Linked DNA regions of Lepisosteus oculatus. The protein of the gene in region 2 interacts with the protein of the main gene of each other region in a biochemical or structural test. Links are inferred from orthologs where the notes say so. Each region holds a gene or a part of one and is shown on either strand. Other genes may lie near its edges.

The links.
Region 1: the proteins of xaf1 (region 2) and rnf114 form a complex in vitro, tested with the Homo sapiens proteins (2 studies listed by BioGRID). The link is inferred for Lepisosteus oculatus from reciprocal best matches to the Homo sapiens genes XAF1 and RNF114.

Annotation. Positions count from the first base shown.
Region 1 is NC_090711.1:6,397,687-6,405,386, reverse strand, and holds the start of rnf114 (E3 ubiquitin-protein ligase RNF114), read right to left. Parts: upstream 3,012-7,700; 5' UTR 2,906-3,011; coding exon 2,769-2,905; intron 287-2,768; coding exon 136-286; intron 1-135. Other genes in the region: spata2 (spermatogenesis-associated protein 2), read left to right, coding at 6,895-7,212. UniProt on the Homo sapiens protein: E3 ubiquitin-protein ligase that promotes the ubiquitination of various substrates. In turn, participates in the regulation of many biological processes including cell cycle, apoptosis, osteoclastogenesis as well as innate or adaptive immunity.
Region 2 is NC_090721.1:10,834,807-10,842,813, forward strand, and holds the start of xaf1 (XIAP-associated factor 1), read right to left. Parts: upstream 3,012-8,007; 5' UTR 2,958-3,011; coding exon 2,917-2,957; intron 1,910-2,916; coding exon 1,774-1,909; intron 1-1,773. UniProt on the Homo sapiens protein: Seems to function as a negative regulator of members of the IAP (inhibitor of apoptosis protein) family. Inhibits anti-caspase activity of BIRC4. Induces cleavage and inactivation of BIRC4 independent of caspase activation.

The sequences.
Region 1 (7,700 bases), on a different chromosome or scaffold from region 2:
GCCCTTAGCGCAGAACAAACACATCAATACAAAATGGCTCATGTTATCAAGCATACACTGTTCCTAAGTGTTGCCGATACCCCTTCATCAGTATGACCTCTCTCCCTCAACACCAGAGGATAGTACAATGCTCACCTCTGTGTGACAGCCTTTGCAGGCTCCCAGCGAACTATGAATGATTGCTTCCAGTTCTACAGCATTGGACCACTTGCTGAGAGCAGTCCGGCAAACTGCACACACAGGCTTCTGGGGGCGCAGGCATTCCTGCAAGCAGCTGCTGCAGAACCTTTGGGAAAAAAGCAGACCCCTTTCTTAAGCCTCGGTTTTATGGTGGGGCTTATCCAGTGTGTCACACAGTTGCTTAAAATCACTGGCAAAAGGTGGACGAACAAAACAGATAACACACTAAAGCAAACAAAAACCTAGTAAATGACAACTTCAGCATATGCAGTATATTGGCAAAAATAACATAATGCTCAGGAACAGACAAGTGCAGGTGTCGAGCAGTAGTGATTACGGTCCAAGTATAGATTTATATAGATAGTATAGACAATCATACATCACAATGTGCAATACCATTAACTGGATATGCAGAGTACAATATGTGCAGGGCAAAATCAGCAATGCAAAAAAGGGTGGGCTACAGATTTCAAGTGTAAAAAAACATTTTTAATCGCACATAAACAAGTAGATACATCAGTCTGGTCTATTCCCGAGTTTTGCTCTTATCGACTCTCTGCCGACACAAATTCCTAATAAAACTATATCACAGTATATCCTTGTTAAATTTGATTTAGATAGCAAAGGGTATAATACAATAATTTACCCCTGGAAGCTTCAGCTAATACTTTTATTTTACAGTGCATGTATAAGAGCACTTCTTCATTCTCTCTATTTCAATCTGATACCAGTTTGCCTAAAGGATAAGCAACTAGTGAGTTTAAAAATCATAAATGTATCCTTTTACTCAATTATAAAAGCAGAGCAGAACTATTTTTTTCAGACAGCTGACTTTTTTTTTAAATGTATGACATTATTAATTAGGGGATACCCTGTTGTTGGCTGTGTTTTTTCCCCCATGGTCATGAATCACCTTATCATGAAGCTTGCATTGTAGGTACCAGCTCGTCTAGTCTGATATTTGGTTCATCACATGACTTCCTGCATTATTATAAAAAAAGCTCAGCTGAGCATTAATTGAGTCACAGTGGGGGGAAAAAAGTTCTGGATTTGGCTTTCAAGAGTACTTAGCAAAGAGATTCCAGATCCGCTATGAGCAACCAAGTGAGTGCCAGAACAGAGGGAATTGTGGATATTAGCCATTGCAGTGGCTGTGGTACAATGTTGCCTTGTGTTTCGATTTAATCCCCTAGGAGATTATGGGGTTTTTATATCATTAGAAGGCATTATAAAGTCAGGTCAGTTTTCTTCTCCTCATTCCCAAAAGGAAACATCTAAAAATTAAAAAATGTAGGCCTATACAAGAAATGCAGTCTGTTACATTTCAGAACTTATCATTCTTTGAATTAAAACGTAATCATGAACGGTTATTTTTCCGTTTAAAACAAGCCAGGAATCGTCGTTAACACCCCCCATAGCATTACAGTAACCGTTTCAGAGTCCTAATTTCTTGACCCATTTTTTTTTAGATAATGAGAACGACTATTCTCATTCGTAAGCACTAACAAGTAGACCTCTGAATTTGTGAGGGACAGGGCAAGTAGCCTACGCTCTCATATATTCCTTTTTGTTAATTTTACAACAAATACTTGAAGGTTTCTATAGTAATGTCCCAGCTTTCTGTAGATACAGTAGCTATAACTCACTTGTTTTTTCTCGTAACAGATGAATCCGTAGCTACATACTCGTACTTGACTATTACGAAATATCTGTAACTAAGGCCTTCTTCATTCCTAAAAAAAACGTGGAACTTGGGAGTCTGCACTTATGGGTGCAATTAGTGAGAAAAACATGCACCACAGGTATTACGAATTCCTGGTTATCTGTCGAGTGTAAAATGTTTGGAACTGTTAACAGAGCGAGCTTTGAAGTAAATAATTATGTACAGAAATTAAAGACATCGTAAAATTTAAAAAAATAACCCTAACATCTCTTTAACGCCCGATGAGAATTGTTAAATCGCGATGGTCTATAAAAAAAACAAATGAGACTTATAAAGTTGAGAACATTTGTATAAACCAAAGATTTTTATTTAAAAAGTTAAAATTCTAACAACATTTTTGTATGTAATCACTACCACTCGATTTATGCGTTTATCGCGCCACAAAAATGAAGCTGTCTGGAAGCTGAAAAGAAACCTTAAACACTTTCTTTTAGGACGAAATCTAAAAATAAATTACCCTAAAGTAACGGGGGTTTCTGTGATTTGTAGTCCGACTGCAAATACAACACCCTAACATTTAAACCATTGACAGCGCTACAAAAAATACATATCCCACAATGCAGCACACTCCTTAGATGTAAACAAAAGTGAAAGTACAAGCGTTCATCATTCTAACATACAGCCTGAAAATACTAAATAAAATGACAATTGAGCATGTTAAAGCTTTGAATCCTGTTTCAAAACATGAAAACTAATGTTAGATGTATATATACATTTACTTTGCAGGCACTGTTTTATTATCACGGTTAGGAGACTAAAGCAAATGACAGAACTAAAACTAAAAACAGAAAAAAATGGGCTGTGGATATATCTCCACCCATATAAACAAATATTTTTAAAAAAACGACCATGTATTGAGACTCACGTATGCCCACACTGTGTTGTAACAGGCCGGTCAAAAATCTCTAGACACACTGGGCACACGAATTCTGGCATATCTCTCTCGCCATCCTCCGTGGTTTTCTTCTTAAGAACAGTATCTAAGCCCCCAAACATCGCCATTTCTCGCACAGCCGCTCCTGTTCCTGTCTTTTCCGTGTAAGATGCCACGAATATCGCGTCAGCTCTGAACCTGCTGTAGGAGGGGCGAATACAGCAAACTACATAGCGGCTGCCTAGGACATGGGCGAAGTGAAGACAAAGCGGAAATTGTAGCTCTTGACCATACCTGGCCAGGGTTAACACCTCGATTAAGGTTCATTTCTGGGCATATACATATTTTGCCATTTCATGAAAATAGTTGTTTTCAAGGAGATACTGCAGGAGTAATTACTGTATATCTTAAGGAGAACACATGATCTTATTTAGAATTTTCATTTTTTTTATGGATGGCCTTTTAAACTCAAAACCGTCAGCCAGTACTTCTGTTCTAGGGAAATTCTCAACATCTAGATACTGTATATATAAGACAGTTTCCCTGAAACTCTCATTGACGGCTTTTGAAAGTTAATATCACTTTGAACATGCATGCTCAATGCTTCCTAAAATGTTAACGTTCTGTTTTTATCTTAATTGATAAATGTTTGGGAGGCATCATGGTGTGGAGATACAGTAACTAAGTGTGGTTTCCTTCCATTGGGAATCACACATTTATGACCTACTGTAGGTTTCTGTCTCTGTGGAGTTTGAATGTTCAATGTCTTTGTGGGTTTCCTTGGCTGGGTTAACTACTGTCTCTAAATCAGGGGTCTTCAGCCCTGGTCCTGGAAAGACCCAATCCAATTATTCATATAGATCAGCCAAAAGTACCTGTTATTTAAAGATTAGGCACTCTTTTTAAGCAAATGCTCAATACCAGGTAATGTTTATAATGAAACACTATGCTTTGAGGGATGAAGGATATTCTAATCTCGGGATCCGGGTTGGGGACCAGAGGAAGCAGACCTCTTTTTCTGTGATAGATCCCGGGTTGCCGCGACCCTTGTCGGGGTGTATATAAACATTTTATTTAGAAAGTTGTTCTGTATAGCGCGCATACCCGGCGCCTGGTTTTGAGTTCACGCGCACGTGGAGTGGCGTAAGCTACGTAACGCATGCGCAGAGAGACGGTGGGGATTTCCAGCAGAATGCGAAGGTAAGGAGTGGGGAGAGTATGGTGGCGTCTTTTAAAAACAGCTCGGCTGGTTTAAAATGAAGCATTTCTCAGTGCGTCTGTTTGACTTGTGACTGCCAAAACGCAGTTCTGCCCATGCGGGCGCAGGGACTGGTTGCTGGTTGTACGCATTAGGGTTTCAAGGCGTTGTTTTATAATCTGTGTATGTAGATTCACTGAGGCGGCTGTAACCACTCTGTTGATGGGGGCCGAGTCCGAGTAACTGACAAGTCAAGAAATGATCTTTGCCTCCGTGTAAAAATGATGTTTGATGGGTCAGGCGTCATCATTCTAGACGACAGTAAGGAAGAGGGTGTGCGTGTAGTGGAAAACCGGAACCAGTCTTATTGGCTTCCTTGAATAGAAAAAAACATGTATAAAATAAATCAGATTTTTTTTTCGTGTTCGGGAATTATCTAAAGGTGACGTTTTTCTCCCCCAAGATGTTTCGTTTTACATCTGTTAGCTATGAATTTTTCTGCATTTTTTAGCGTTACTGTGCTCCGCTCGTTGGGCGAGTGAGAAAGTCATATCCGCGATTCAGTGGGCTGGGGGTGTGTACTCGCTCCGTGGACGGATTGCATGCACATCCACTGACGCTCGCCAGAATTGGAGACATTTCCACACACACACACACGCAGTATCGCACATCTTGGATGAGATTTTCAACGGCCTAAAAATATTAATAAAATGTGCCAGGTTGATGGGCTCAGATAATTATCTCGGCTCCCTGAAACCGATCCAGTTAAACAGCGACAGCCTGCAATTGCAGAATCGTATCTGCTTGATTGTTAAGGCGATAGGCTAGTTTCATACACCCCAAATTTTCTAGTAAAGGTTTGGACTGTTTCAACCAATAAGCGAGGCTGAAGTAAATTTTGAAAATTCACGCGTAGAAACTAGATATTTGGAATCAAACACCCATGCAAAGGACATGATTAGTGTGGAGCCTTATACAGCCCTAGTAAAGTCTGACACGAGGGAAATGCTCAGTTCTTCCGCCCGTGGCCTTTACAGAAGGCGTCTCCGACGCCTACACGTTGTGTGGTGGAGAGGCGATGCACGTATTGCGACCAGCCTCCAGGTCCTGCACACAATCCTTTGCTTTTTTTGGACTTAAGAATGTGCAGGGAGTCCGAAACAGCAGAGGTCCCCTTTTTGAAGAATTTCAATGTGAACGGTCTTTTTATGGACAAGGGTCCTTAGCTTACCCAGCCCTGGCAGTGGGCAGCCCAGTTGGAGTGAAACCTGGAGCATCACAGTAGGTATCACACAACCCTTACTGACCTTTTGTGGATGTTTCTCGGATTGCCCTTTCAAATTCATCCCGCAAAGCCCCGTTTTGTTATGTGCAAGGATACAGCACTAAACGTTAGCAAAAAACAGCCGTAGTGGCTGATGTGATGCTCGCAGTCATTCAAACGATTTCTGCCTTGCTCGCTATAGTACTGGGATGCATCCTGAAACATTGACATCAGTTGTAGTTTGAGGTTTGTTGTGCATGTCTTAAAAGAAGCAGGAGATATTTGCACATTGGTTATGTGTTTATGTTTTAAAGACAATATGTTCCTTGGGATTCAAAATATTGTGATGGCTTTTGTAAATTATTCTAGCACTTAAGGTGACATCAGGGGGTTTATAGTTAGAAAAGTGAAAAACACTTTATGCTTAAGGAGATGGTTATAAATACATTGTGCTTTAATACAATGGTACCAATGGACTTTTTATCTGAAAAAGATTAAAAGTTTTAACTTTATTATACCACTTCATGTTTTCAGTAACAGTGCTCATCAGGAACACCTCTATGAGGTGTATTTTAAATCCACAAAATCTGGAAACAGCAGATTTAAAAAGCCATGAGTCTTTCAACAAAAAAACAAGTTCCATGTTTTTCCTGTCCTGTAATTGTTGTTCTGTATCTGCCAACGTTTACAAAATGTGCCTCTATAAAATCTTTGTAAGATTTTTCCTTGCTCTGTAATGTCGCTGACCTATTCTAAGATTTACAGTACTTTCCAGAAAATGTGTTGTCGTGGGCTCTTATCTAGGCTTGATTTACACAGTGTACACACACTTTCACACCTGCGGAACCATTTAGATTTGCCTCCTCCATTACAGAGTTTCTGCCAGTAACAAATTCTCAGTGTGAAAGGCGGACATGTTGCAGATCTGCATTAATCCCAGGTGTTGGGTTTTTTTTTTTTAATATTGCTGCGGTGGAACCCTTGAAAAAATGTGTGTTCAAGATATTCTATAAACAAAAATACTAGCCGAAATGTGTCCATCCTTGCCGTTACCAGTGTGTGTATTCAACAGTGTGCAGGGAATGCTTGCTTGTAAATAAATCAGTACTTTCATGTATAGTCAAGCAGTTTATAGCAGCTGAGTAAAATGTGCTTGAGATCAGGCAGAACCTGACATGTTGATTGAATCCTAACTGGCTGTTACATTAATAAAAAAAATCTCTTTAAGTAGTTTCTTTAGGCATGTTTTTCTTCTGTCTTGCAGCCCGGGGAATCGTGCGGATGGTTAGCCTGGTCGGTCATCCCTCAGCGGCCTGTTATTCCCATACTTTGCACTGAAGACGGGGTTTACTTGGCATAGCCTCCGGAGCTTGGATTTCTGGATTCAGATAACCTGCTTCACACAATGTGAACGTGCACTCCGCTTCCCGTTTCACTGCTTATTCATGAGTGAAACAGCCCGGGACGTTCCAAGTCCAAGATCCCCATGGGAAATTCAAGGTGCAGCATCTCCTGCTGAACAGAAGAAATGTGGCTACCATGCAACTTGTGACGCAGCAGCGTGTCTGAGCAGGCCTTCTCCCAGCTGTCTTGGAGAGTCTTTGAAGCAGGGGGTGATTATGCGAGTCAGGCAGTGACCCAGCCTGCTGCTCCAAATGGATCCCAAGCTGCGAGAGGACCTGTTCAAGAGGTATGTGCAGTGCCTGGAGTCCAGACTGGAGGAAGGAGGCGATGGGCAGCAGGTGGCGGTTGAGACTGGGCTCCATGCGGCTGCCACGGCTCTACTCAGTGTCTACCAAGTGGATCCAGCTCAGCGGTTCCGGCTCGTTCGGTTCTATGAGGTGGCGGAAAACGCCCTACGCACCCTGAGGAGCTCCAGCCTGCAGGCCTTAGAGACGGCTTTTGCCACCCTGGAGACCATCTGTACCAACCTGCTGCTGTACCCCTGGAAAAAAGAGTTCCGCAGCATTAAGGTACGTGATGCCAGAAGACAAGGTGCCCAGCAGCATGGCGAGTGAACGGATAGTGATGCTTTTCTAGTTTTCTGTTATATAGTTCAGGCTTCATTTCTGGATGAAGCCATTTAGAAACCTACAAATCATCATTGAACCCCAAAGTTAGCAACTGTCAGTCTCTTGCTTGTTTTTATTCTAGCTTAATGAGATCAGGTTGGACAGCTGTGGTTAGATCATGGAATTGTAGAACAAATCAAATACATAGTAGAAAAAGTTTCACTGAAGCAAATTTGCTTAATAAAATTAAGATCAAGATCAAGGCTTTATAGCTTTAAAGCCAGATTTTTAGATGTTTTGAGCAATTGAAATTGTTTAAAACCATTTAGATGGTTTAAAGCGGTTACAAAATGTGCATGCATGAATTGTAGGTTTCAAACAGTATCTTATCTAAAACGAAATTGAATGCATATTCAGGTTAGCAAAGTAAAACTATCTGTGAAGAAATT
Region 2 (8,007 bases):
AAATAGCCGCGAGGAAGCTCACTAGGAGTTGAACTGGGCAGTGTAATGATCTCGTGTCTAAGGACCCTATCCTCTGAACGGAAATGTTCTGGTAGACACAGTAAGCAAGCCAAGGTCAGAATCTGTAAAACTAGAGACACACATTAACAAGCGTGGTGTGTCAGGCTGGTTTAAGTAGACAGGTGGGAGAGGGTGTGTCTGATTATTTAATTAGAGACTGCACTGGAATGTGAGGGAGTTGATTGAGCGCGATGAGTCCTCCGGGGGGCGTGGCGCGAATGACATAACAGGAAGCGCAAGCCGGATGGAACAATACATCCTGCTTTCACTTCTGTCCTGAGCTTCTAGTGTGTGTTGGTTTGGCCAAGCTGATGCGCCAGTCTGATTGCTTGCTCCTGGGCTCACAGCAAACCGCATGGCAGCAGAGAAGTGCCCCTCTGATGGGCGCCTCACTGGCACCTGTCAGAGCTCTCCCACAGTGGGACAGAAACTGAACACCCACTCGGACAAGGGCTGGGCTGCCCCAGGCCCTCCTGAAAGGCACGCAAAACAGCCTTGCACAGGAATGCCTCATCGGGCTCTTGTTCTGCAGTGAATATACTGTATTGTACAAGACTGATGGGTGCTGTTGTAGAGAGTTACCTACACGCTGTCCTCTGGCTACAGTGCCAGGATATAGGTATCTGTAGGAATCTTGTCAGCTGAAGCTGCTGCTCAGTATAGAGCACCATCCCAGTGACTCCACGCAGTGGGTCACAGCTGTAGAGGGTATGTGTAACCGAGCTAGGATTCGGGCCCTGAATCCTCCTGCTCTGCAGTTCCAGTTGGTGAGTCTGTAGACACTAGCTAAATGCTACTCAGACCTGTGGAGCCTGCAAACTTATTTTCCTCTCTAAACTATTTCAACCTTAAATTCCTGAACTGAAGATTGTTGCCTTAACATTTCATTTAACATGTGATTAAATATTCATGTGTTATGTGTATTTAATATTTAAGATGTGTATTTTAGATATTTATATGTATTGATGTGTTTTGATATGTGGAGGTTGGAAGAGTGTATATATATATATCATGTCAGTCCAGGAGGGGACACCTGTTACAGCACATGTGCAGGTTTATAGCAGCCATATCACCCTGCAACTCACAACTAGCAACCCACTGAAGCTAAGCAGGTGTGAGCCTGGTCAGTACCTGGATGGGAGACCTCCTGGGAAAAACTAAGGTTGCTGCTGGAAGAGGTGTTAGTGGGGCCAGCAGGGGGCGCTCACCCTGTGGTCCATGTGGGTCCTAATGCCCCAGTATAGTGATGGGGACACTATACTGTAAACAGGCGCCGTCCTTCGGATGAGACGTAAAACCGAGGTCCTGACTCTCTGTGGTCATTAAAAATCCCAGGGCGCTTCTTGAAAAGAGTAGGGGTGTAACCCCGGTGTCCTGGCCAAATTTCCCATTGGCCCTTACCAATCATGGCCTCCTAATAATCCCCTTCTATGAATTGACTACATTACTCTGCTCTCCTCCCCACTGATAGCTGATGTGTGGTGAGCGTTCTGGCACACTATGGCTGCCGTCGCATCATCCAGGTGGATGCTGCACATTGGTGGTGGTGGAGGGGATCCCCATTACCTGTAAAGCGCTTTGAGTGGAGTGTCCAGAAAAGCGCTATATAAGTGTAAGCAATTATTCTTATTATTATTATTATTATAGCCTTCAGTGGTGATTTGACTGCCCCCTGGTGTGCGGTGCAGGTTTTGCAGCCTCCCCTTCTCTGACCTGCTTGTGCTCGGTGTCCCGATGTTGGTCCATCTGCTCCCTGGGCACTGGCTCATCGCAGAATGGGCACACGCACAGGAAGCGCTTGCAGTGGGACTCGTGCAGGGCGAAGTTAGACACGGCCACCTCCTTCTTACTGCACAGGACCAAGGGGGCAGAGGAGAGAGGGGGTGGGGTGGTGAAGGGGTTAAAAAGTCTGACAACTGGTTACTGAGCACAGAGTTCCTTATCACCATAGACCCATCACACGCAGAATATGCTTTTGCTAATGGATTGGCAGCACCAAAACAGATTTCATATTGACGTAGTTGTTCCCTTTTCTCCTGGCTCTGCCAGTCCCTGATATCAATTTTGGCCTTCTATACAAGCATCTGTGTCAGGCCCTGCATCCTGCACAAGGTGGCCTGCGGCTGAGAGCACAATCATTTCTTTCTGTCCAGAGACTTTTCATGCACCAGTGGAGCACAGCATGCACTGTGCGCCCCACCCAAGACACACTCTGTAAGCAGCTCTTACATTTTCACTCACAGCTGAAACTCTGACAGGGGAGCAGGAGTGCAATAGAGCTCTCGTTCCCCTAGCGCTGCCAAATCGTGCACTCTCGGAAGATCATTCCCTCTTTGACTGCCACAGGGAAACAGGAATTTTGCCATTCTGTACTCCATAACACTTGTTTTTCAATAGGTGCTCCTAAAACTGTATAAACCTCCCCCAGCCAGCTGCTCCTGAGCTTTCCCGAACTCGAAGCTTCGGTACTGGGAGCTGTCTGTACGTCAGGTTGCCGATTCTGTTACTGTTACAGAGTGGAGCAAGATGAAAACTTTCCCAATCCTAGGCTCCCCCCCCGACCCGACTCGACCCCCCCGCACTCAGATCCAGTTTTGTCTCCCAGCGCTGAGAGACGAGCGCCAGCTCGCCCCCCACACCGGAGAGCGAAGCTTGTTCTCTCCACTGAGCCCAGAGCGATGCCTTCTCACAGAGCCTTCGCCCCTCTCCAACACTGCCTCGCCTCCAGCAGCGTCTCCCCAGCCCCTCCCCTGAACTCCTGACCGCTCCAAGAGAGACCTGGCCCCACGCAGGCGTCTCGGCCTGGCCTGCAGCTGTGAGACGGTGTCAAAGTGTTGAGAAGTCAGTGGATCTCACCAGTTCCTGCAGAGCCTGCTGTCCCCCGTGTGCTCCTCCATGTCTGCACAGCTCGACTGTTTCTCTTTCACTTCTCTGGAACAGAAACTGAAACCACTGAATATTTCAGCAGGCTGAAACGCTCACAAACTGATTTCCTGTTAACAGTAAGAGGCTGAGTCTAGCATGTCAGCCTAGAATCTCTCAAGTGACTGTCTGTGCATACAATTTTCCTTATTATCCCTAGAAAATAACCTCTGAAGTATTATTTTGAAACATTTCCATCTTGCTCTTGTTTCGAAAGAGAATCACAAGCAGAACCGCTGGTCATTCACAATAAAATAGACTTACTCTTCTCTCAAAGCTTTGCTCATGTTAAGCTCATGCAATCTGAAAAGTTATAGACCATTTTATTTACTGTGCAACATGAATCTAAAATGAGCTTATTTCTTTATCAATTTTTTATATAAAGGATTGCTTGTGAATAATGCCAGCAGCCATACTATCGCCCTGCAACTCACAGCTGTCACCCCACTGAGGATACGCAGGTGTGAGCCTGGTCAGTGCCTGGATGGGAGACCTCCTGGGAAAAACTAAGGTTTCTGCTGGAAGAGGCGTTAGTGTGGCCAGCAGGGGGCGCTCACCCTGCGGTCTGTGTGGGTCCTGATGCCCCAGTATAGTGACAGGGACGCTATACTGCGGAAAAAAGGTGTTGTCGTTTGAATGAATCCCAGGGCGTTTCTCGAAAAGAGTAGGGGTGTTACCCCAGACTCCTGGCCTAATTTCCCCCTGACCCTTACCAATCACAGCCTCCTAATAATCCCCATCTCTGAACTGGCTTCATCACTCTGCTCTCCTCCCCACTGAGAGCTGGTGTGTTGGGAGAGTACTGGTGCATCATCCAGGTGGGGCCGCACACTGGTGGTGGTGGAGGGGATCCCCATTACCTGGGGGTGCTATTACCATTATTATTATTATGATTAATGACACAGTGGAGGCAGTGAACTGAGCTCGTTCAGTGCCATGTTCTGCGGGTGAGTGCGGTGTTTGTCAAGAGGGGGGCTGCCTGAGAAGAGACTGCTCCCTCAATGAGCTGCAGAGGCTTCCAAGTCAGGGACAGATTCGGGGAGCTGGCTCTCTCATTCGGGGGGGTGCAGTCAGAGCAGGCGATGAGTGTCCAGCTCACCTTGCTCCCGGGGGCCGAGCGCTGACTCGAGGGGCGACTCTCGGCCAGGCGCCCCCTGTGACCCCCACCCTGCTCGCTGTCCCTCAGCCGCTCCCTGGCTCATGTCGTAGGCCCAGCCTCGAACCAGCAGCGCCTGGATCATAGGGTCCCTCTGTAGGCCTCAGGAGCTGCTCACGCAGGACGCTGAGCAGTTGTGTGCGGGCTGGAGCATGTTGAGAGTCCTTACAGCTTCAGGAGGGTCCCGACTGTGGCGTCTAGCCCACGAACCAGGGCTCACTGTAGCTGTGCCGCTGGCCTGGGTCTGTCTTGGGCCCTGGGGACCCTCTTGGGACCCTCTTCTTCCCGCCCGGCTGGTGAGGATGCCGACTGTGCCAGCTGCTGCTCTGGCACTGGGTTCAGTGCTGAAGCGCTGACTGTGGGAATCTGCAGCATCACTCCACACCCACCCCCCCTCCCACTGGTCTCAGCGCACACTCCCTCCCTCTCCGCTGCCCGCAGCCGAGCTGGAGACAGGCAGGGCCATCTGAGGGCACTCTCCCGGGCGCCGCAGCGGAGAGAGATGGCAGCGAAGAAGCCGCCGTCAGAGGCGCGATGGGAGCTGGTGAGATGGTGAGTGGGTCCTGCAGAGTCTGTGACTGAGGGGAGTCTTGGTCTGCCAGCACCTCTCTGTGTACTATCAGATGTCTGCTGTCTCTGGGTGGTGGGGGGGGGGAGGCACTGCGGATTCGGCTCTCCGCTCTCTCCTCGCTGGATCGCTGGGGGGCGGGGGGGGGGGGAGATCATGCAGGAAGTTTTCCGACTCGTGTCAGAAAGGCGTCCTGCTCGGGACGAGCATTTCCTGGGAAAGCTGCCAAGTTCGGTTCTTACGTGGGCGCACGTTTGGCGGGTCAAATGATTTATTTTAGCAGCCGGTCAATTCCTCCCGTCGCGGCGTTAAGGGCAGGAAGAAAGGGCCTGCCGGTGTCATAGACAGTAACAGCAATGAGGATGTTTTGCTGACAGGCTGGACACTCGGACGTTCGAAACATCTGTCCATCCAGGAGGGCCGGTGAGGTTCTGAAAGACAGGATCCCTCCAGTCGTTGAGGTGCTGTGTCACAGAAGTGTGTTTTGTATTGGAGCGTGTCGGTCTCATTTTAATATCACATTAACAAATCGCTGCGGGGGGAAAAGGGCTAATCGGAATGCATCGGAAAACGTCCTTTTTTAAGCGGGTATGTGCCGGAGACCGGCTGTGTCGATGGCAGCGCTGCAGGGAAGTTGGCGCTCATGTTTGAACAGAGGTGAGTGGAGGCCTTTCGCCAGGCAGAGACAGCAAGAAGCCGCAGGTCAGGAAAGGTCTGGATCCAGGTGCCAGCCTGACTTCTTTCAGGAAACGGCTGGACAGGTCAGGCCCCCCTCTTGTTTGGGTCCCGTCTTGTGTTCGGTGGCTCTGTCCCGGGAGAACTGTCTGGTTCAAGCTCTGGGTGTCTGTGGTTCGTACCTTCAGCAGCAGGGGGCATAGTTTTATATGGCCAGGAGCCATATCACCCTGCAACTCACACCTGGCAACCCAATGAAGCTCAGCAGGTGTGAGCCTGGTCAGTACCTGGAGGGGAGACTCCTGGGAAAAACTAAGGTTGCTGCTGGAAGAGGTGTTAGTGGGGCCAGCAGGGGGTGCTCACTCTGCGGCTCATGTGGGTCCTAATGCCCCAGAATAGTGACGGGGACACTATACTGTAAACAGGCGCCGTCCTTCAGATGAGACGTAAAACCGAGGTCCTGACTCTCTGTGGTCATTAAAAATCCCAGGGCGTTTCTCGAAAAGAGTAGGGGTGTTACCCTGGTGTCCTGGCCAAATTTCCCATTGGCCTTTATCAATCATGGTCTCCTAATAATCCCCATCTCTGAACTGGCTTCATCACTCTGCTCTCCTCCCCACTGAGAGCTGGTGTGTGGGGAGAGGACTGGTGCATCATCCAGGTGGGGCTGCACACTGGTGGTGGTGGAGGGGATCCCCATTACCTGTAAAGAGCTTTGAGTGGAGTGTCCAGAAAAGCGCTATATAAGTGTAAGCAGTTATTATTGTTATTATTATTATTATTATCTGGCTGAGCTGTGCCGTGTTGAAACCGATCTGGAGGGCAGGTGTGCCTGCCTGGCACCCGGGCTGGCGAAGCAGGAAGTGGGCCTGGCGTACCGCCCTCTGAGCCCGGAGAGAGCCTGCTGCTTCCCAAGGCTCCGATCAGGGATTCTGCGTGTCCTAGGATTCGCCACCTTTCCAGATGTCACACTCAACAAGCGCTTGCACACTGGAACGTAAAAAAACGTATGATGATTGGAGGACGCAGGTTTTCAAATTAAAAGGATATATTTACTAATACTTTCTCTTGGAATTGTTAGCTGTTGCTATTTCCTTTCTTTATTCCCATTCCTCCTCCACATGGGACTTTTTTCTAAAACATTGTTAATTCCATTCCATATGAATTGGCGCGTCTGAATAAGCCCGGCTCGGCCGTCGCGCAGTTCCAGTATTTCACCACTTGGTGGCAGCGTTTGACTCTACAAGAGGCTACTGCGAAAATTTACCAGATACACATTTCACTACTAGTCGCAAATACAGCAATGTGGTCTGGGGTTTGGGAAAACAAAATAATGTTTTTCTGTCTTATATGCACGTCTATGACATTAGCAGATGGTTGAATTCTAAGTTTTCATCTATAAATCATCTGATTTATCTGTGCTATAGCACATTGGCTAACGGGTTCTTGTAATGAGTGACACAAGATAACATTCAGTTTGCAGTTTAAATCAAGGTTTGCAAGACCTTGCCTGTGGATATAGAGAGAGATTCAGAAATACTGTTCTAAATGCCAGATGCTATTGAACATCAATTACATTAATTACATCACTGCTGCACTCACATCAACTTACAGTACATCACAGCTGCGCTACATTAATGACATCACAGCCACACTCACGTCAACTTACATCACAGCTGCGCTACATCAATGACATCACAGCCACACTCACGTCAACTTACATCACAGCTGCGCTACATCAATGACATCACAGCCACACTCACGTCAACTTACATCACAGCTGTGCTACATCAATGACATCACAGCCACACTCACGTCAACTTACATCACAGCTGCGCTACATCAATGACATCACAGCCACACTCACGTCAACTTACATCACAGCTGCGCTACATCAGATGATGCCCTGCCCTCTGCAGTAAAAACAGGGCAAACAGAAAACAGAGAGAATACAGAGTCAGGGGAGCTGTGGTAGCTGAGATGGCAAGGGTGTCTAGCTCCTGTCCGGAAGGTGGGTACCTGTGTTCAATCCCAGGTAGGGGCAAGTGATAGAGCTTGCTCTGATTCCTTCCAGATGACTCCCAGGTCCACTCAGCCTGCTTTCCAAGTGAGTACTGGGGGTTAATCCTTCTGGGGGTGACAGGCCGGCCAGAGTGTGATGCTGACCACCTCACCTCCACCTCCAGTGGTCAAAGAAAAATGGTGGCCCTTGCCACCCATTCCCCAAGGGCCTTGAAGGCCTGAAAAGGGACCTACTGTACCTACCTACCGACTGCACCCTCCACAGTTCTGCCTGGGATTTTTAGTATCTTGTGATGCCAAGCTGATTTCTTTTCCAGCAGGAATCCCTCTCTGTTCAAGTTCAATCAGAGATCATTGTCATTAAACAGAGCGTCGGGGTACCTTCAGAGCTGAATGTCCCTAACGTTCAAAACAGTGCTGTCAGTGGGCGCGTTGGTGTTTTAATGAGACTGCGTTTCACAGCTCCAGGCAGGAGTGAAGAGGTCATTAGGAAGCATTTAAAGAGTTGATGACCTGCCTCTTCTGCTGTGGGGTGCCAGCAATTCCGACTCTGAGAGCTGTCTGGGGCATTGTGAAGCACACTCAGAGCCTCTCAGAGCCCGGT